2 linked regions of the Caenorhabditis elegans genome follow. The protein of the gene in region 2 interacts with the protein of the main gene of each other region in a pairwise test. Each region holds a gene or a part of one and is shown on either strand. Other genes may lie near its edges. The genes, in order: Y55F3BR.2 and npp-25.

Region 1 (9,404 bases), on a different chromosome or scaffold from region 2:
AAATATCAATTTTTTCCAGATTTTTTCGCCGGATTCTCAACGAAGCGCGTTTGCATTCTCCCCGATTTTCGAAAAATCGTCACCATGTTCCTTATCACTTATCAGAAGAAAATGAATAATTAAAATGTTTCTTATCGGGGTGTCTAATTGACTCTTCGAGCACCTGACACAGTGTCACCAGATGCACCTGCCGGAAAATGCGCCGATTTTTGCTTCTGTTCCACGTATTTTTTGCGTTTTCACACAGTTTTCCTGTTAGAAATGATGATCGTGGAGTTTTGCCGAATAGTAAGTTTTTACTGGGAAACAATTATTTTTGATTTGAAACTAAAAAAAATCTGAGAAAAAACATTCTTTTCAAAGTTTTTTTTCAGTCGACGCTCTATTCTGTACAAATAAGGATTTAAGACAAGTAGTCTTCAATGCATTGCAAAATATTACAAATCCAAAGGCAATCGCCGTTGATCAAGTTCAGGCAGCTATTCAAGTGAGTTTTTTTCTTTTTTTTTCGCCGAAAAAATTCGAAAAACATTTTCTTATCTATTTTCTTACAAATTTTCGAGTTCTCGCAAATTTTTGTGTTAAACCTAACAATTTCAGTGTAAAATTTCATAGTTTCGGGATTAGCTTTGGCTTAGGCTTACAATTAGGCTAAGACTTATCCTTAGGATTAGTCTTAAGTTTAGGCTTAACCGTAGGGTTAGGCTTAAGCTTAGGTTTAAGCTTAGGATTAGGCGTCGGCTTAGGCTTGGCCTTAGAATCAGGCTTAGGTTTAGGCTTGAGCTTAGACGTAGGCTTATGAAATAAAAATATAGATTTTAATTTAGTTGTTTATACTAAAATCACCAAATGTTCCAATTCCAATAATTTCAAAACGACTTTCTGGAATCTTTTCATTTACATTCGAAAAAATAAAAACCGGAAAAAAAATTACAGAGTTTTAAAATTAAAGTGTTTGGAGCAGCCACGCGCTTCTGGCTTCCCACGAATTTTTGAATGTAAAAGTCTGCCGAACTAGGCCATTTGAGCTCGGCCATGGTCGTGGTAGATTAACGCCAAAAATGCATTGAGGAAGACCAGAAGCCCGTGAGCACCACCACCGACAAAATTTGCACTCAAAAGTATATATTCCAGACCGCCCTAATCCCGAATTTCGCGTCTTCCGGTGGCACATGGCTTGTCAGTGCCACGTCATATCATCGTGTAAATGGATATGTGGATGATCGGGCGACGAGTATGGACACGTTTTGTGCTGTTAATGATATTAACTTGAGTATGTATATTGTAATTATGAAAATCGATAAATGAATTTAGATTCTAAAAAAGAGTTATGACGGTTCAAAGATTACCTAAGATTAGTTAAACTTTGAAATTAACTTTGACCTATACAAGTTAATTATCTTGCGTTTCCAACAAAAATTATCGACTCGACTAATACCTTTAAATGAAGTGAAATTCCTGAGTACTCTTGCATAGTGATTTAGGACTTTTTCGTGAAACAATCGTAAGATCCCCTTCAATTTTGACCAATCCTCAATGTTTTTCCAGTACGATCGGAACAAAACCTCCAAAAAAAAGGCGTCCAAGGCGCGAACACTCTTGACACATTTCCCCGCCGCCGTATACTATTTGGTCAAGGAGCTTCGAAAAAGATGAAGAAGCTCGAACTGTTCAGTTTGTTTACCCATAAAGATATATATCCCTCTCGCCCGTTCCGATACTATTTGAGCACGTAATCGAGAAATAGTGTGGGATATTGAGAGTGTAAGGCGACGAGAGATCGGCTATTCACACTGGGGGACAGCAGGATCGTGTATTTCAGAAGTGGGTGGGAGATGAGATGAGGTAATTGAAAATGAGCCGCCGCCGCCGTAGCCGACCCCATTCAGTTTTAATTTCCCGTCTTTCTGCACTTTTTGATCTGACCGATTAAATAATTGATAATTTTTTAAATTTGAAACTAATAGTGTTAACATAAGTATATTCTTATCAACATTTTTGTTGTTCACAGCTTTTTTCTAGAGTTGCTCTGAAAAAAATTACAGCGGCCGGGCCGACACTTCGCAGGTTTCCAGTTTGGGCCAGCGAAGTGTCAGCCGCTGTCACTTTCAAAGCTTTAAAAACATTTTTGTAGTTAATAACGTTCTCTAGCTCACACCTGAAACGGCCTTTTGGGACGAGTCTGTCTGTGCCCGCAAAGTGTCGGCCGCTGTAACATTTTCCAAGGAACAGCTTTAAAAAACTGTCAACTGCAAAACTTTTAAATATATTATTATCTAAATTATTGTAGTTGACAATTCTTTTCTAGCTCCGCTATGAAAAAATTGCAGCGACCGACACCTCACTGGTTTCATTTGGGACGCTGCCTGTCTGGGCCAGCGATGTGTCGGCCGCTGTAACTCTCAAAACTGTTTAATATATAACACTATCTACATTTGTGTGGTTAAAAAATTTTCAAGCTCAGCCCTGAAAAAAGTTACAGTGGCCGACACTTCGTAGGTTTCTTTTGGGCCACTGCCCGGAAGGTGTCGGCCGCTGTAACATTTTCAAGTAAAGAGCTGGAAAAAAGTTGTTCACTGCATAACTGAATTTTTATAGTTGACAACTTTTCTATAGCTGGCTCCTGAAATGAGCGCCGCCGACACCTCACTGGTCTAGATTCCGGACCAGCCAGGTGAGCAAGTTTTTCTACAGAAAAATCAAAACTTCTTCTCACTTTCCACACTTTTGTCAATAAAACCCCAAAATTTCAAGTGTTTTTCAACAAGCACCGCACCGCTAACTTTCAAGTGTGATTTTTCACGCGTTGACCCTTTAGAGCTCCGTGTTTGCTTTTCATTTATGAAAGTAATTGATAGCGGTCATTCAAATGTACAAATATCGTGGTTATATTCATTATTTACTTCCATATTTTAAGTTATATCCCGCGCAATTAGAAAAAAAGAACAAAAAAAGGCAAACCTATAAAGTGTCGGCCGCTTTAACTTTTTCCAGGGCAAAGCTAGAAAAATATTGTCAACAACAAAAATGTAGACGGTATTAAGTTAGACGGTTTTGTAAGTGAAAAATTTTTTTATAGCTCCACTCTGAAAGGAGTCCTAGCAGCCGACACATAGCGGGTTGGCATTATAGACACCTGTGAGATGTCGGCCGCTCTAACTTTGTTCACAGCAAGTGTAATAGCGTTTTTTAAATAAAAAAATATAACTGATATTGCACTAAAAAATTTCGTAGTTGACAACTTTTTTCTAGCTTTGCCCTAAACAAAGTTAGAGCGGCTGACATCTGGCGGTTCCAAAAATAGGGCCTAGAAAACCGTGAGATGTCGGCCGCATACTTCAACTTCTAACTTCTTTATTTCTCAAATACTCTTCTTTAAAATTCATTCCAAAAACTTTTCAGGTATGATACCGTACCTACTGTTAATATGGGGTGCCCTGGGAGCTTCTGAGGGTGAGTACCAACTCTTTGAGCTGAGAAATTGTTGAAAATCAAATTTCCAGCTCTCCCAGAATGCCAAATCAATGAAATTTGCTCAAACTGCAGCCTAAAAGCAGAGCTCTCAACAAAATGTGAAATAAGCCAAGATGTCAAAGAAGCCTTTCTTTTTTGTAATCCAAGGACAAAGTGAGTTTTTTCGTAGACTACAGTACTCCAACGACGTATACAAAGTTCGAATTCAGAGTTTCCTTAAAATTTTGGGCCAAAGCTCAAAAAACTAGAATTCTCTCTAGCTCAATTTTAAAACTTTTCCGGGCTACTGCATGCAGCGCCAAAGTACTCAAACACTGAACTTGACAAGCTTTTGAGCTGGAGCTCTAAAAATTTCGGAGTTTACTAATGAACTATAGAGAATTCCAATTTTTAACAAAAAATTTGTGGAAAAATTTTTGAACTTCAGTTATGATTAATTTTGCCAAGGAGACGGGTGAAAATTATCTTCGAGTTTGTATGTCGAAAATGTTATGTTAAAATTTGAAATCTTTGCAAAAATTGGACTCGAACACAAAAAACTAGACCCCGGTAGCTCAATATTGAAAATTTCCGGGTTACTGTAGCTCCAAAAGTCCGCAAACACCGACTACCGTATTCCAATCAACCAAACTTGACAGGATTTTGAGCTAGTGTTCTGAAAAGTTAGGAGTGTACTAATTGAGCTATGAGAAATTTGAATTTCTAACTGAAAATTCGTGAAACAACTCAATTTTTCTGAAAATTTGAGTTCATTCCATATCAATATTTAACTTTCCAGAAAAATCGATATCGAACACAGTTCCTATTTGACGTGCACAAATGGTACCTGGAAGCAGGAGATTTGCTCAGAGGATGGACGGGTGCATTTCAGTCTGAGTACCCGGGATTGTGTGGATCCGGCTATGCAGGTTTTCCACTCACAGGGGACTTCTGGTAAGCTTTTTTTAGAGAGAACAAAAATGTCGGAATTTTTTTTCAAAAAGTTTTTAATTATGAATTCTAATTGTTTTATAATGATTCAGCTTACCGAGAGTGAGTAGAATACGAATTTGGTAGTTAAAACAAAAAAGTTGAAAAAACTGAAAAAAAAATCATTGGAATTTTTACATATTTTAATTTTTTTTAGGATCCGGTCGGGTTGGAGACGTATGTTCCTTTAACACAGATTGCCTTGGCGGAATGTTCTGTGCAATTGGTCAATGTAGATGTCTATCGACTTATGTCGCTGTCGATGCTTATTGTTATGAAAGTAAGTTTGCCTACGTGCCTACATCCTGCCTACCTTGTGCCTACCTTATGGCTACTTGCATATAGATAAGCATGGCCAAAGTCTGCGGGACTATATCTTGCCTATTCTGTGCCTACCCTATGCCTACATTTTGCCCACTTGTCTACATGCCTACCTTCACCGTTGCCTAGCCAAGGTTACTTCTTGAAGCTTACGTGAATACATCTAGCCTACTTTACGCCTACATCCTGCCTATTTTGTGCCGAGCTCATGCCTACCTTTCACCTACCCATGGCTACTTTGAGTCTAGTTTGTGTATATTTTAAGCATATCCCATGCCTAGCTTGTGCCTACATCGGACCTATCGAAAGCCTGCCTAGCTTCTGGGCTACCGTATGCCTGCGTTAAGCCTGCATCATGCCTGCTTCTCACATTTGCCTAATTAAACTCTGCCTATACAATTCCTGTCGAATTAAGTAGGCAAATAGGTAGATGGGTAGGCAGGTAGGAATAGGCATAGGTACTAACTTGTACCTACATTTTCAGAAATCTCGCCATCCGATTCCGGGTGCTTCTACGATACCCAATGCGCATCGGTCTGGCCAGATTCCTACTGTAAAAACGGACAATGTATGTGCCCGTCGGAGGATATGATCGCAGTTAAGACCAAGTTGGTTTCATGCTCCGTGAGCCCAGATGACTAACCTTAACCATTTCCAGAGACGGTACCCTCTGCGTGTGGTCCACAAGCTCCGAGCCATCCTGCCCGCTGCCTTCCCTCCCGCCTCCGGACTCGCCGTCGAGTTTGGTGGTTCTTCCAGCGGCTGCTGGTAAGTTTCAGGATAATTTTCAGAATTTTCAGTACATTAAATTTCAGGTAAAACCAGTGTAACAATTGCTCCGTGCAACCCGCACAGCTCGGACACTCCAAAACGAGAGGAGGACCTTTTGGGCAAACAGCACGACTTCAAGTGCTCGGTTCGGGGATTCGTGAGTTTTTTTTTTGAGTTTGGAGTGAAAATCCAAATAGAGCACGCCAGGAGCTTCAATTTAAGTATAATCATGACTAGGTTCCGAACAATTTCGGGTCCCACCACGAATTTCACCGGGGTTACTGTAGTTTTCGTGGCGAGACCCAAACCGAAGGAAAGTATGTCATGATTATACTTATTTTGAAGCTCTTGGCGAGCTGGACCGCAATAAAACAAGTAGGATTCATATTTGTGATTTTTTGAAAAAAAAATTTGCAACTGTTTTTTTTTCGAAATTTCCAAAGAAAACCCAAATTCAAAGATTTTTCGCAATTTTCTCAATTTTTAATTTTAAATGCAAAAATAATGCTCTGCTCATCGCGAGCTTCAATTTAAGTATAACCATAGCCTATCTAGCTCCAAATAAAGCAATTTCGGGTCCCACCACGAAAGTCTCGGGTTACTGTAGTTTTCCTGGCGGGACCAAAAAATTGTGAGAACCTAGTCATGTTTATACTTAAGCTGAAGCTCTTAGCATGCCGATTGTTAATTTTGTAACAAAATTTGAAAAAAAAACGGAGAATTTGCGAATTTTCAAAAAATTAAAAAATATTTCCAAAATGTTTTTTTTTAATTTTTCTAGTTTTCTCAATTTTCCACTTGAGTGACTCTTTTGTACTTTAGTTAAACAAAGCTGATTCATGAGAAGTATAAAAATGCTTACTCAAAATTGGGTCCCACCACGAAAACTACAGTATCCCCGACGATTTTCGTAGCGGGACCCAAAATTGTTTCGATGGAACCTTGCCATGATTCTAATTATTTTGAAGCTCTCATTGTGCTGAATTCAATTATTGCAATTGTTTTGTGAAGAATTCAATTTTCCAAAAACTTCCAGCTAGGAGATGAGCCGGAGCCACAGGATGTCTCCGACCTGTACGACTGCATAGACAACTCGAAATTCTGGAAGGATCAGGGAATGGATACAAGTTCCCATCCAATCGGTGTATGTTGTATGAATCGAGCTTTTACCTGCATGCAACCGAAAAAAGGAGAATCTGATGCACTTGGCTCCGTGCCAAGATGGTATTTTAACTCTGTGATGGGCTCTTGTCAGCAGTTTCTGTTCGATCCAACTGGCTCAGAAGTGTCCCCGAATAATTTTGAGACTCTGGACCATTGTGAGAGTTACTGCAAAGATAGTGAGTTTTTTTTTGTGGAAATTTTTTTTCAGAATTTCTCAGTTTTTATAGTCTCCAAAATTTTTTTTATTTGTTTGTGCACGGAATTCTGGCTTCCCTCATAAATCGAAATGGCAGAGTTTGCCGAACTAGGCCATTTTGGGTCCGAGAGAATTTGTGTAGATTCTCTCGGACCCATTTAGTTGCAAAACAAAATTTTGTTGTCCGCGTGGTGTACACGACTTTCCCACGAGTTGTCCGTCAGGCGATTGTCAATGGAGCGCGAAAATTCAATGAGAAAGGCCAGAACCCCGTGTTTGTGCTCAGCTCACTGAGATCACTCAAACAAATATAAACATGCAATATTTCCATTTAGTTTGGTTGATTTGGGTCCCGCCACGAAAACTCTTGCGCTACCGTTTTTTTCGTGGCGGGACCCGAAAAAGAGGGAAGTATGTCATGTTTGTACTTATTTTGAAGCTCTCGATGAGATAAACGCAGTTTTGTTTGAGATAATGACTAAAAAAAGACATTTAAAATTTTAGAATTTTTTTTCGAAATTTTTTTTTTCAGAAAATGAAACAATTTTCATTTTTTTGGAATGCTATTTATAAGTTCATCTTCAGCGCGTCGAGAGCTTCAATTTAAGTATAATCATGACTATTATCTACCCACGTTGGGTCCCACCACGAAAACCCCGGGGGGTACTGTAGCTTTCGTGGTGGGAACCGCAGTCAGAAAAAAGTAGATCATGATTGTACTTTTCTGAAAGCTCTCATCATTCTACACACAAATCTCCGATTTGCAAAATCCGATCAAAAAAAGTTAAAAAAATTTCAGCCTGTCCACGTGGAAATCCAGCCTACCTTTCCACCAAAGGGTCTCCGAACAGTGCTCGTCTACCACAAACCGGATGCTCCACTGCTAATCCTTGTACGGATCCATTTGTGTGCACAGAAGTCGCTAGTCAGTCAATGTGTTGTGCGAGCAGAAGTAAGTGGGATTTAAAAAAAAATTGTTTTTTTGGAACTTTTTTTTGTTCAGATTTTTTTCAGTTTACGTAAAAATGCCAATTCATTATAATTTTTGAACTGAACTCACTGAGAGCTTTACCTTGACTAAAATCATGACACATTTTGCTCCAAATTGGAGAAAGTTGGGTCTCGCCACGAAACTCTCTGGGTTACTGTAGTTCTCGTGGTGGGACCCAATTTTGAGCAAAACATGTCATGATTATACTTAAATCAAAGCTCTCAGTGAGCTGAACTCGAAAATTTAACATACATTTGACAAAAATCAGTTTCAATGACAAAAAAACATGGTTTTGAAAATTTTGGAAAATTGTTCTTCTGATTTTTTCTAATTCTTGGTACTTTTTGTATTCAGCTTGTTGAGAGCTTCAATTTAAATATAATCATGACCTACTTTCCTCCAGTACGGGTCCCACCACGAAAACCCCGGGTTACTGTAGTTTTCGCGGAGGGACCAAAACTACTCAAGTTTGAGAAAAGTATGACGTGATTATGCTTAAGTTGGAACTCTAAACAGGCTGAACTCCAAAACAAACGTCTCTGAAACTCAAAAAAATGTCTGAAAAAAAATTGTCTGAAAAAAAATTTCCAAAAATTTTTTTTTCAATTTTCAGAATCAATCTGCAGTGAAGCTGGTGCAAGATCCAAGGATCCTCTCCGTAATACTCCCTATGATGCAGGACACCGTTTTGACCAGCTTACCGGTGAAGCCGCCAACTTCGCAGTGGGCATCAGTACCCGTTACTACTATAATCCAACAGATGGGCAATGCCATCCGTTCACTTTTAATGGATTTTTGGGAAATTTCAATAATTTCCAAAATCAAGCCGATTGTCAACTGTTTTGTGCCAGATGTGAGTTGAATTTTAAAAAAAAGGTGTTTTTTTTTCAATTTTTGCCTCGAACATTTTTAATTCGCTAACTATCTATATGAAAATGCCGAAAACAGATTAAGCTCACCAAGAGCTTCAAAATGGGTATATTCATAACCAGGATCCGCTAATTATGAGAAAAGTTGGGTCCCACAACGAGAACTACAGTAACCCGTGGGTTTCGTGGCGGGACCCAATTAAGACGAAACCTAGTCGTTTTATACTTAAATTGAAGCCCTCAGTAAGCTCTGGAAACCAAATATAATAGAATAAATTTGCCAAACTTCAGAAAATTTGAAAACAAAAATTGGGGAAAAAAACTTTTGAAATGTTTTTTCTGAAATTCCAAACAATTTTTAACTTTTATGACATTTTTTCAAAAAAAAATTCGAATTTAGCTTGTCAGGAGTTTTTGAATAAGTATAATCATGACTAAGTTTGCTCAAATTTGACAAAAGTTTTGAAAACTACAGTAATCCTGGTGATTTCGTGGCGGGACCCAGAAAATTCAAGTTTGAGCAAACCTAATCATGATTATACTGAAATTAAAGCTCTTCTGCACGTTAAACTCATCTGAACGCCTTTTATTTCAAAAATTCCAAAAATATTTCGGGTCCTACAACGAAATTTCAAAAGTCAAATTTTCC
Region 2 (12,482 bases):
TCGAAAATCGATATTATGGGAACACAGAATTCTGAGAATGCATATTGCACAACATATTTGACGCACAAAATATAACTATATCTCGTAGCGAAAACTACAGTAATTCATTAAATGACCTTGTGTCGATTTACGGGCTTATATTAATTGATTAACCGAATAGTGACAACGTTAAAAAAATCGAGCCCGTCAATCGACACCAGCGCTACAGTAGTCATGTAAAGAATTACTGTAGTTTTCGCTACGAGATATTTTGCGTGGCAATAATTTTTTTATATTCTCGGTCCCTCAGAGGTGCTGCGTGGCCTAGAAAATTCTAAAATTCGGCCAGACATTATTTAATGTAAGCTGAGAGGCCCAGGTTTTCAATTTTTCTAGGCCACGTATTCTAGGCCACCCATTCAGCGCGAAAAAAACTTACAATAATCACAATTTTAATGCCCATACCGATGAGCAGCTGGCTTGGAAACGCCATTTTCTGTAAATATTAAGTAAAAAGAACTGAAAAATAAATTATACATTAAGAAAAAAGTAGGGGATAGGTTGGAACTTCGCTCCATTGATAATGCAAAATTTTTCACAATAGAGCTTATTTGCATAGAATGGGATTTCGAAAAAATTGATATTATGAAGACGCAGAAAAAATCGGCTTTTCAAATCGAGGTGCAAAGGCGCTCCAATGAAAAATTTGGGTCTTGTTGGGTATTTACGTCTGGCTTCCCTCATACATTGAAATGGAAGAGTTTGCCGAACTAGGCCATTTTGGCTCGGCCATATCTGGGGTAGATTTACGGCGCGTTGCGTGTCGCGTCGCGGCTCGATTGTAAAACTAAATGTATTTGTCCGTGTGGAGTACACGACTTTCCCACGCGTTGTCCGGCTTGTCAAATGGAGCGCGAAAAATTCAATGATGAATGCCAGAACCCCGTGAAGTCGGTTTTTCAAATCGAGGTGTAATCGCGGTTCAAATTTGGGTCTCGTTAGGTTATTGGCGTTTTCAATTATTTTTCGTATTGTTTTTGTCGAAATAATGTTTCAGCATTAAAAAATACTGAAAACTAAACAAAAACGACTAAAAATGCTTGAAAATTTACGAGTTTCCCGCCAATACCTAACGAGACCCAAGACCCAGGGGCGGAGAGTGTTAATTTCGCCGTGAAGCGCGCTTGCACCTTGATTTCAATTTTTTTTTCAGGTTTACGAGCGATGCAAATAATTGTTTCAACTCAAAAAATCTTCTATTGGGGGAGTACACAAAGGGTTTTCAATAGAGCGCGTTTGCTGACCTAATTATTTAACAAAAATAATTATATTTGGACGCCACGGGGTTCTGGCCGTCCTCTTTGAATTTTACGCGCTCCATTGACAATTGCCCGCCGGACAACGCTTGGGAAAGTGTCGTGTACTCCACACGGATAAATACAGTTAGTTTTACAAGCCGCGACGCGACACGCAACGCACCGGAAATCTACCCCAGATATGGCCGAGCCAAAATGGCCTAGTCCGGCAAACTCTTCCATTTCAATTTATGAGGGAAGCCAGAAATTCGTGGGGGCGCTTTAGCAGGAAATTTAAAAATTTTAAAATTGAAGGATCAGAAAACCTGCCCTATTGAGAATTAATCTAAGTCTTCTAAATTTAAAAGGGCCCAGAAGTTTGATTTAAAAAATCGAAAAAAAAAACAATTTTCCGTATAGTCATATGATGACAGTATACAACATCAGTTTCCCTGCAGAAAGTCGAAAAGTGAAGAGAGATGGAGAAGCAGGCGAGAGACCTCCCATCGCTCGCCGCGCCGGTGAATCATGAAAGAGCAAATATAGAGTGTCTGTGTCTCTCTCTGTCTTCAACACTATTTTCATACTTCTACATTTCTGAACCTCTCATATTTCAATGTTCCATGGGGGGCTTGACTGTTTGCCTACGGAATTGCATAACAAGGTGAGCAGGCAGGTAGGAGGGGGGGAACCGAATCGATAAATTGTATACGTTGAGGAGGTTGACTATTTGCATTTCGGCGGCTTGAGCCCTAGCGGGAAAGGGTTCCAAGCTGCTGAACATGTGCACAAATGAGCAAATGAAAATGTTTATGTAGAGGAAAAGCTCGACTTTGATAGAATCGATAGTAATTTAATATGAATTTTTTGAGGAAATAATGGAAAGGGCATCAGAATTTAGCGGGTCTCGACACGACAATTTCTAGGCGGAACAGGCAGAAAACAGACCGTAATGACCGAATATAAGTATTTAAAATATTTGGAAAAAATTTTTTTAAAAATTGATTTTTTTTTGGATTTTTTTGCAGAAGCCGGCCGTTTTTTTTGGAAATTTTGAAAAAAAATTTAAAAAAATTGTTTTTTTTTAAATTTTTTTTTTTGCAGAAAAAAGGATATTTCCAAAAGGTTGCCGGGGCTTAATCAGTCTTTTTTTTGTTTTGAAAATTTTGGAAAAAAAATTCTTAAAAATTAGGAAATTTTTTTTTTCAATTTTTTTTCAAATTTTAAAAAGCTCATTACGGCCTATTTTCTGCCATTTAATGCCGAAAAAAAAATTTCCAGCAAAAAGTCGTGGCGAGACCGCTATTTTTGGTGCAAAAATCGTTTGTGTAATATAAAGGGCGGGTAGGAAGGGGGAGGAGAAGATCTGAAAGAGCACATGAAAAATTATGGAAAAAGCGGAAAAATGTAAGCGAAAAGGGGAAGAAATCGGATGTTTGGCAGAAAAAAAATATTGGAAAAAACACTGAAAATCTAGAATTTGTGCACAAAATGGGGAATTCGCTTCAAAAAATCCCACTTCATCTGATTGGTCGAAAAGTGGGCGGAGCAATTCGCTGATTGGTCGGCCAGAATTTAGCCAAAATTGAAAAAAAAAAAACATTTTAAGCCGTTTTTTTTTGTGGAATTTCTGGATTTTTTGGGTTTTCCAAAAAAATCCAAACTTTTTGGATTTTTTTTCAATTTTTCAAAAAAAAAAAACGGCTTATTAGGCTCCGCCCACTTTTTGGAGATGTTTTTTGAAAAATAAATTCCAAAAAAACACTTAAAATTTCCGGATATCCAAGAAGTGGGCGGAGCCTGATAATAAATTTTTTGGATTTTTTGTTTAATTTTTCAAAAAAAAAAACAAGGCTTATTAGGCCCCACCCACTTTTTGGAGATATTTTTTCTGGAAAATAAATTCCAAAAAAAAAAACACTTAAAATTTCCGGATATCCAAGAAGTGGGCGGAGCCTAAAAACCAATTTTTTTTGGATTTTTCAACAAAAATCTAGAAAATCAGTGTTTTTGTGGTAACAACAAAAAAATATATAAAAAAAGTTCAATTAATAAATCACATGACTGGCGGAGCTCTAGCCGAGATGAAATCAATAGCTCTGTAGATCAGTGAGCTAATCGGACGGGGGCAACTCGAGCTCATCGCAACATTCTGAAGTGATCCACGCATTTGCGCGAACGCTTGACGAGTCGACGGATTCCGTCTGGAGGCGTATCTCAGCGAAAGGAACCGGTAGTAGGCGAACGGCAGGAGCAGTGATCCTTTTCCACTGAAAATCAGCGAGACGAGCAGTGGAACGAGAAAGATTTCCGAGCAAGCGATGATTCCGAGAGCATTTTGGGTTTGATGAGCAGTGAATTGTTCCAGTTTTGGGATGATTGAGCTGGTGTGACCGGTTTCACGTAGGATTTTCGTCTGAAAAATTACTTATTAAATGTGGAGTAGCGTCAGTGGGGAAATTGGTTTAAAACACGCCTATGGTACCACAATGACCGAATATCATGATTAAAAATTCAAAAAATTCAAAAATTTTTTTCTAAATTCTATATGATTTTTTGAAAATTGGAAAAAAATCTCAGTTTGCGTGGAATTCCTATTTGAATTACCGCCAATTGGATTCGTTCGATGGAGCGCGCTTGCACGTTTTTAAATTTAATTATTTTATTTTTTGTTACTTATTTTCCACCGATTTTTAATGTTTTCGGTGTATTTTTGCTTGAATTTTAGAGAAAAAGTCAAAATAAATGCAAATTTTCGATTAAAAAGCACGGTTGCAGTCGTAAATCAGTGAAATTAATTAATTCAAGTTTGAAATCGTTTAAAAGCGTTACTTTTTCATTTTTACTATGTCAGCGTAGTGCTTTTTTATCGAAAATTTGCATTTATCTTGACTTTTTCTCTAAAACTCAAGCAAAAATACACCGAAAACATTGAAAATCGGTGGAAAATAACAAAAAATAAAATAAATAAATTTAAAATCGTGCAAGCGCGCTCCATCGAACAAATCCAATTGGCGGAAATTCAAAAATAATTAGGCAAAAACTGAGATTTTTTCAATTTTCAAAAAATCATATTATCATGATATTCGGTCATTGTGGTACCATAGGCGTATTTTAAAGCAATTTCCCCACAGGGTGTGTACCTTTAAACAGTTATTTTTGTGGTCATTTAAATCGAAAAATTTCAACTCTACTACGGCCCGAAAAACCGATTTTCGTAAGGACATGTTATATATTTAAAGGGGGAGTAGCGCCCGTGAGGATTTTGTCTAAATGCACTTATAATGATCCAAAACAACCGAATATCATAATAAAATACTCCAAAAAAAAATATATAGATTTTCATAATTTCCGGGCAAAGTTTTGGCAAATTGCCAAAATTTTGAAAATTACAATCTTTTTGAGGAAATTTAAAGAAATGTCGCATGTTTCGACCCCTACAATGTTCTAATACAAATAATTTAAACAAAATTAAAACATAAAAACAGTCGAAAAAAAAAATGTTTTTTTGGTCGACTTCCAAAATTATGAGTGGCAAAAACTGAGTAATTGCCACTTTTTGACAGTAAATAAAAAATGTTCAAAATTTTTTTGAAAAGTTTTAGGAGGCTAAAAGCATACAATTTTGATCATGTTTCGAATTTCTCTCAACTCAAAAACGTGCGTAAATGACCACCAAAAAATGCAAAAAATTCAGATTTTTTTTTTCAAAATCAGGGTCATAAAAAATGTTTTGGGCGTTTTTTGAGAAGTTTCTTTATGAAATTCAATAGTTTTGGGTCATCACTGCAACTTTTTCCTCACGAGGGACGAGGAAAAGTGGTTTCTAGGCCATGGCCGAGGGGCCGACAAGTTTCAGCGGCCATTTATCTTGCTTTGTTTTCCGCCTGTTTTCTTTTGTTTTTCACAGCTTTTTCCCGTTTTTTCTTACTAAAACTGATAAATAAATACTTTTTGCAGATGCTAAAACAATTTCCAAGTGAAAAAATAATGTATTCAGTGGGCAAGCAGCGGTGAAAGTGGTCAATGTAAAATGATGGATTACGGGAATACAAAACCTATACTTTTTCTGAAACATGATACATATGCTGCTTAAATGCTGAAATTACCTGATTTTCATAACGAGACCGCTGAAAAAGTTTTGAGGTTTCCAAAATTCAACTTTTTCGGTGAAAAAGTCGAGATTTTCCAAAATTCAACTTTTTCGGTGAAAAAGTCGAGATTTTCGCACAAAAAGTTGAATTTTGAAAACCTCAAAACTTTTTCAGCGGTCTCGTTATGAAAATCAGGTAATTTCAACATCTAAGCAGCATATGTATCATGTTTCAGAAAAAGTTTAGGTTTTGTATTCCCGTAATCCATCATTTTACATTGACCACTTTCACCGCTGCTTGCCCACTGAATACATAATTTTTTACTTGGAAATTGTTTTAGCATCTGCAAAAAGTATTTATTTATCAGTTTTAATAAGAAAAAACGAAAAAAATCGATGAAAAACAAAAGAAAACAGGCGGAAAACAAAGCAAGATAAATGGCCGCTGAAACTTGTCGGCCCCTCGGCCATGGCCTAGAAACCACTTTTCCTCGTCCCTCGTGAGGAAAAAGTTGCAGTGGTTCAGTCCAAAACTTTACCATAAAAGTGCAAGCATGAAGAGCCGCATAGATAGTAACTGGAAGAGCAGCCATGCTTACTGGAGCAGCCATCAGGAATACGACAGAATAGACGAGATAATGGAATGAATCTTCGATGATGAGACGCTGAATAAACTGCGCATTCAGTGCAAATTGTCCTTGAATTCTCGTGTGAAGACGGAGGGCGAATGTGGCGGCGGCTGAAAAAAAAAAGTTTTTTTTTGGAAAAAAAAATCTCAAATTTTGCGGTTAAAAATTGGATTTTTATTCAATTTTTTGTCATATTCTGCACATTTTTGCAAGAGCATCGCATAGAAAAAGAGGCGGAGCGTAATTTTGCAACCCTGCGGCACGGTTTTCCAATGAATTTTCGATTTTTCTTTTTTCTCAATAAAAATTGGATTTTATTCAATTTTTTGTCATATTTTGCACATTTTTGCAAGAGCATCGCACAGAAAAAGGGGCGGAGCTTAATTTTGCAACCCTGCGGCACGGTTTTTTCTCCATTTTTCTCAATAAAATTTCGATTTTACTTGTTTTTCTCTTTTTTTTTCGAATAAAATTCTATCGAAAAAAGATAATAAAACATGTAAAATCGAAAGTTTTTTTTTAATCAATTTCAAAAAAGCAGTGGAAAAACCGTGCCGCAGGGTTGCAAAATTACGCGCCGCCTCTTTTTCTGTGCGATGCTGCTTTTTTTTTTTGCAAAATCTCACATTTTTTCGTTGATTACGGTACTTTTGTAGCCGATATCGACGTTTAATGCACCGTGAATTTTGCAAAAAAGGAGTATCGCACAGAAAAAGAGGCGGAGCTTATTTTGCAATCCTGCGGCACGGTTTTTTAGCTGCTTTTTTAAAATTGAATGTTTTAAAATAAAATTTTTGATTTTTCCTCTTTTTAGAATAAAATTCTATCGAAAAAAGATAATAAAATATGTGAAATCGAAATTTTATTGAAAAAAAAAATCAATTTCAAAAAAGCAGTGGAAAAAAACCGTGCCGCAGGGTTGCGAAATTACGCTCCACCTCTTTTTCTGTGCGATGTTGATTTTTTTTTGCAAAATCTCACATTTTTCGTTGATTATGGTACTTTTATAGCCGATATCGACTTTAAATGCACCATGAATTTTGCAAAAATCAGCTTCGCCGCACAGAAAAAGAGGCGGAGCGTAATTTCGCAACCCTGCGGCACGGTTTTTCTACAGCTTTTTTAAATTGTTTTTTTTAAATAAAATTTTTATTTTTCTTGTTTTTCTCTTTTTTTCGATTAAAATTTTATCGAAAAAGGGTAATAAAACATGTAAAATCGAAATTTTAATTTTAAAAAATCAATTTTAAAAAAAAACACTAAAAAACTGTGCCGCAGGGTTGCGAAATTACGCCCCGCCTCTTTTTCTGTGCGATGCTGTTTTTTTTTGCAAAATAAAGGACAAAAATTAGCAGAGTCTGACGAAAATCAAACGGAGAAATCGATAATTTTTGGGGATTTTGGCTAAATTATGCAATTTTTTCGAATTTTTTCGAATTCCCGGTCTGAAATTCGGGCTTTTAGGCTTTTGCCAAATAACGTACAAGCTGCGAAGATCTTATAATACGCAGAATGAGCCGGCACCAATCCAATAAACGGAATCATGTAGTTCAGAGCAAAAAAGACGGTCAAAACTCGTGCGGCGAATAGCACACACTCCATTGTGTTCGCCGAAACGTATTGCTGGAAAATTATTGATTTTTAGTTGGAAAAAACTGCAAAAATTCTCACTGAAATCGAGGAATAAGCTGGCGGTGGTGGTGGTGGTGGGGCACTCGAAGATCCAGAAGATCCAGCTCCGGTGGATGAAGATTGATGATCATCGGGTTCTTCGACAATTTCGACCATTTTTGTGAAGTTTTTCTGCAAAAAAATCTGTGAAATTGGGAAAAAAGGAAAAAATTGAGGTTAGGAGACGTGGATTAGCCCAAAAATTGCGTAGAATGTTCCGGAATCATCGATTTTTTTCTGTTTTAAACAAAAATTAAGGCAACGCATATTGAAAATCAAAAGAAAACACCAGCGGTTTCTATGGAAATCAATTAACGAGTATGTGGAGCCGCAGAGCACACATTCTCGATAATACTTGAGAACGACCGCAAACACTTTGACGGCACGTTGCACAGAAAATATTTTTGTGATTTTTTACTTTATTTACTCATAATAATCGTTTTAAACTGCTTTTATCGGATATAAATTCATAAATTTGAAGAAAAACTGCAGAATTTCTCTAGCTAGAAATAAAAAATAAAATTAATTGTCGTCAAGTTGTGCGCATTGTACGCAAGCAGCGTGACGTCAGATTGCACAGTTTTCTTTTTTATATAAAAAATTTAATTTAATCTTTTTTAAAATCAAATTTCCGCTATTCAAATAGATTTTAAGAGCTTATTTTAAAATAAATTAAAATTTCCTGAATTTCAGAATGCTAAAACTCGCTTCATCCCTCAGAACTGGTCTTATAAGCCGAAGCATCCGAACATTAGCGCCAACAGTGAACCCGGCCGAGCAACAGCAAGTTCAAGCAGTTTTACCCGACAAACTGTACAGCTCAGTTGAAATCGAGTATCGTGGGCACGACAAGGCGGTTTTGAAGTCATATACGTCGTTTTTGCAGGTATTTGAACGTTTTTCAGGTCTTTTTGATTTTAAATTGCATTTTTCATTTATTTTCAGCAAGTCTGCCAACACCTGGAGATTCCTCAAGGTCGTCTCGAAGTTCTTCCGTATATTCGATGGGTTCAGCCGGCTCTGCGCTCGAAATTCGTCCATAAAAAATATAAATTGCATTATGAGACGAGAACACACATTTCTAAACTTGAGGTTGGAAAATAATTAAACGCCTATGGGGTCACAATAACCGAATATCATGATAAAAAAATTCAAAAAAATTTTCTAGATTTTATATGATTTTTTGAAAATTAGAAAAATCTCAGTTTTCCCCCTAATTCCTAATTGAATTTCCGCCAATTGGATTCGTTCGGTGGAGCGCACTTGCTATATTTTCATTAATTTATTTTATTTTTTCTCATTCTTTCACTGATTTTCTTCAATATTTGCGTATTTTTATCGGAAAAAGAGAGAAAAATGCAAGATAAAATCAAATTGTTCATTAAAAATCACTGAAAATGGGTAAAACTCTAAAATTATGAGTTCTGGAGACAACAAGCTAGCTTGAAATTAGCATATTTTACAGTTTTACCCATTTTCAGTATTTTTTTTTTATGAAGAATTTGCATTTTTCTCTCTTTTTCCGATAAAAAACCACAAATATTGAAGAAAATCAGTGAAATAATGAGAAAAAATAAAATAAAATCAATAAAAATAGAGCAAGTGCGCTCCACCGAACAAGTTCAATTAGCGGTAATTTAAATAGGAATTAGGGGAAGGGAAGAAAGAGATTTTTTCAATTTTCAAAAAATCATATAAAGTCAGGAACATTTTTTTGAATTTTTTTATCATGATATTCGGTCTCTGTGACCCCAAAGGCGTGTTTTCACCTTAAATTTTTTTTTCCAGATCCTCAACGTGACTGGCTCCACAGCTTCAACATTCCTCGAATACATCCAACGAAACATCCCAGAAGGCGTCGGAATGCGTGTCGGATTCACCGAACTTCAACCACTACCGCTGACAATTCAGAAAAATTGATTTATAACCAAATTCTAGTGTGTAGATCCTTATTGTTATTTCGTTTTTTTTTCCTTCTTCAAATTGTTTACTTTTAATGAAATAATAAAGGTGGACCTCTCACCTGATTGGTCGGAAAGTGGGCGAAGCAATTCGCTGGTTGGTCGGCCAAAATTTAGCCAAAATTGAAAAAAAGGTGTTTTTTTTCTGTGGAATTTCTGAATTTTTAGGATTTTCCAAAAAAAATCCGAATTTTTTGATTTTTTAACAATTTTCAAAAAAAAACTGCTTTTTAGGCCCCGCCCACTTCTTGGAGATAGGTTATTTTGGAAAATAAATTCCAAAAAAAACACTGAAAATTTCCGAATGCCCAAGAAGTGGGCGGAGCCTAAAAATAAATTTTTTTGGATTTTTTTATTTTTCAAAAAAAAACGGCTTATTAGGCCCCGCCCACTTCCTGGAGATATCTGTTTTTCTGGAAAGGAAAAAAATTCCAAAAAAATCACTTGAAATTTCCGGATATCCAGGAAGTGGGCGGAGCCTAAAAATAAATTTTTTTGAAAATTTCCAGTAGATCTTTGTTGTTGCATTTTTCTCTATATTTTCAAATTGTGTTTGCTTTTATTAAATATATAAAATGAGACCAAAAAACATGGCAAAACAAGTGAAAAAGATCAAAATAATTATGATTTCCCGCCCGAATCATCGATCAATAACGTTCACGTCTTCTGTCATCATTGCGATGATGCCGGCTCGAGCTTCGGTCATATCCATGACGATCGTGATGACGGTGTGGCGTGGAATTCTGATGACGTCCATTGTACGGAGGAGCGGATCTATTAATTTGTTGCTGCATCATTTGATTTACAAAATGTTGATGAGGAAGCATTTGCGGAGTCGAATATTGTGGAGGACCTGGAAAATATTGATTTTTCGATTTTTTTTCCGACATTCTTGCGTTTTTCGGCTGAATTGGTTACTTTTTTCAGCGAACTTTTTTCAGCTTTTTCAATTTTATTCAATTTTTTTTAGTTATTTTAGGTACATTAAGCTTGTTCTCATGAAATTTAGGTCTAAAAATCTAGAACTTTTCAGAAACTTCTGCAAAAAAAATCGATTTTTTGGAAAAATTAACGAATTTTTCCGACATTTCTGCGTTTTTCTGCAGAAAATTTATTGGTTTTCATTGAATTTTTCTCTAATATTTGATTTTAGGAATGATTTTTCAGACTTTTTGCCGCAAAAAAAGTCCCTGAAACTCTCTAAAATTGGCCACTTTTGAGCTTCAGCAATTTTTTTTTGCGGAAAAATGTCTGAAAATTGGACAAACGATGCTCTTTTTTTCGTCTGGTGTAATTTTTTTTCCCAATTTTTGAGTTATTTTAGGCCTAATTAGGTAAATTGAGCCTGCTTTTATGCAATTTAGGGCTAAAAATCTCCAATTTTTCAGATTTTTGAACAAAAAAAAATTTTTTCTAATTAAGATTTTTTCACCGATTTCTCACTTATATTGAGGGGGTTTCGGAAAAATTATAGATTTGTTCTTCTAAAATTCCTCAAAAATTGGCTCAATTTTTTAAAAATCAAATTTTCCGGCTAATTTCCGCAAAAACCTTGCAAATTATCGATTTTTAGGGTTTCAGCATGTTTTTTTGCGGAAAAAAGGTTGAAATTTTGAATTTTTTGCAAAAAAAAATTTTTAAAAAAAAGATTTTTTTTCCATTTTTCAGTTATTTTGAGCCCGTTCTCATGTATTTCAGGCCTAAAAATCTCCAATTTTTCAGAAATTTCAACTAAAAATCGATTTTTTTGCTACCTCTTTCCCCTCCGCTTCTCCAATGTCCTCCGGATCCTCCCATCAGTGGAGGTGGCGGTGGAGGTGGAAGAGGATCATATTGTCGATGATGACGAGGAGGCTGCTGCTGCTGCCATGAGTCACGGTTGTTTCCGTTTCTGGAAAAGACAAAAAAAAAATGATTTTTCGGCCTTTTTTTGTTGATTTTCAACGTTTTTCTTCGATTTCTGAGATTTTTAATCAAAAAAAAAATGTTGTGAGACAGAAACCAAGCCAACGCCGGGTATAAAATAAAGCCGAATTTGATCTTTTTATCATCGTCTGAGTTAGAGATGAAGCTTCTTATCGTATTTTTCGCTGTAATTTCTGTGGCTGCGGGGCAGAGCGTGAGTTTTTTATAATGTTTTTTATAATTAAAGGTGGTGTTACACCACTGGTGTAGTAGAATTTTTTTTAAAAATTGCCTTATTAGGCTCAAAATTGTCTGAAAACACCGAATTTCATAATGAAACTTCTTGAAAACTTTTCAGAAAAAAGTTATGACGGCTCAAAAAATGGCCTAAAATTAGATGAAATCGGAAATTTGACCGACTTGTCAATGTCGCAGCGGCTGGAAATATTTTTTTTTTGAAATCACCGTTAAATTTTGAGTCTACGAGTTGATATTTTGCGTTTTAAACTTGATTAACAAGGAAAGTCGAAAAATTTAATGTCTGACTTTGGCATGACATAGTATTTTTTTCGATAAAAGAGTGAAAATAATGATGCCTCCAAAAAATTTAGCTGCCCGGTCCAGGTTCGGCAAAGTTATGACGTTTTGAAAGTGACTGGAACACCTTTTTACAAAATTTCAAAATTTTCAAAAAAAAAAAAAATTTTCTAAAAAGAGGAAAAAACTGTTTTAACTTATCCAAAAATGAGAAAAACATTTATCATACACGTTTTTTCTCACCACAGACCAAAAAGCACATTGCTTGATCTACATAACTTGAGGAAAATTCCAAAAAGTACATTTTTTTGCAGATTTAATTTGTGGGTTTTCTTGAGAGGTATAACCTAAAACTTGCATAGCATATGTTTTTCATTGTTTTGAATAATTTACACACATTTGCTCCTCTTTT

What was found.
Region 1: the proteins of npp-25 (region 2) and Y55F3BR.2 interact in a two-hybrid assay, tested with the Caenorhabditis elegans proteins (one large-scale study listed by BioGRID).

Annotation. Positions count from the first base shown.
Region 1 is NC_003282.8:855,528-864,931, forward strand, and holds the start of Y55F3BR.2 (BPTI/Kunitz inhibitor domain-containing protein), read left to right. Parts: upstream 1-3,402; 5' UTR 3,403-3,404; coding exon 3,405-3,453; intron 3,454-3,503; coding exon 3,504-3,627; intron 3,628-4,252; coding exon 4,253-4,407; intron 4,408-4,600; coding exon 4,601-4,723; intron 4,724-5,248; coding exon 5,249-5,372; intron 5,373-5,422; coding exon 5,423-5,532; intron 5,533-5,579; coding exon 5,580-5,692; intron 5,693-6,571; coding exon 6,572-6,875; intron 6,876-7,222; exon of another isoform or gene 7,223-7,445; intron 7,446-7,694; coding exon 7,695-7,847; intron 7,848-8,499; coding exon 8,500-8,739; intron 8,740-9,404. Other genes in the region: Y55F3BR.11 (Ground-like domain-containing protein), read left to right, coding at 198-288, 375-487, 1,135-1,308.
Region 2 is NC_003281.10:12,918,199-12,930,680, forward strand, and holds npp-25 (Transmembrane protein 33 homolog), read right to left. Parts: upstream 7,800-12,482; 5' UTR 7,785-7,799; coding exon 7,668-7,784; intron 7,620-7,667; coding exon 7,481-7,619; intron 6,107-7,480; coding exon 5,907-6,106; intron 3,691-5,906; coding exon 3,331-3,690; 3' UTR 2,079-3,330; downstream 1-2,078. Other genes in the region: Y37D8A.16 (MARVEL domain-containing protein), read right to left, coding at 419-472; mrps-10 (Small ribosomal subunit protein uS10m), read left to right, coding at 8,362-8,553, 8,613-8,759, 9,456-9,587; rbm-7 (RRM domain-containing protein), read right to left, coding at 10,276-10,481, 11,383-11,519; Y37D8A.19 (uncharacterized protein), read left to right, coding at 11,694-11,747.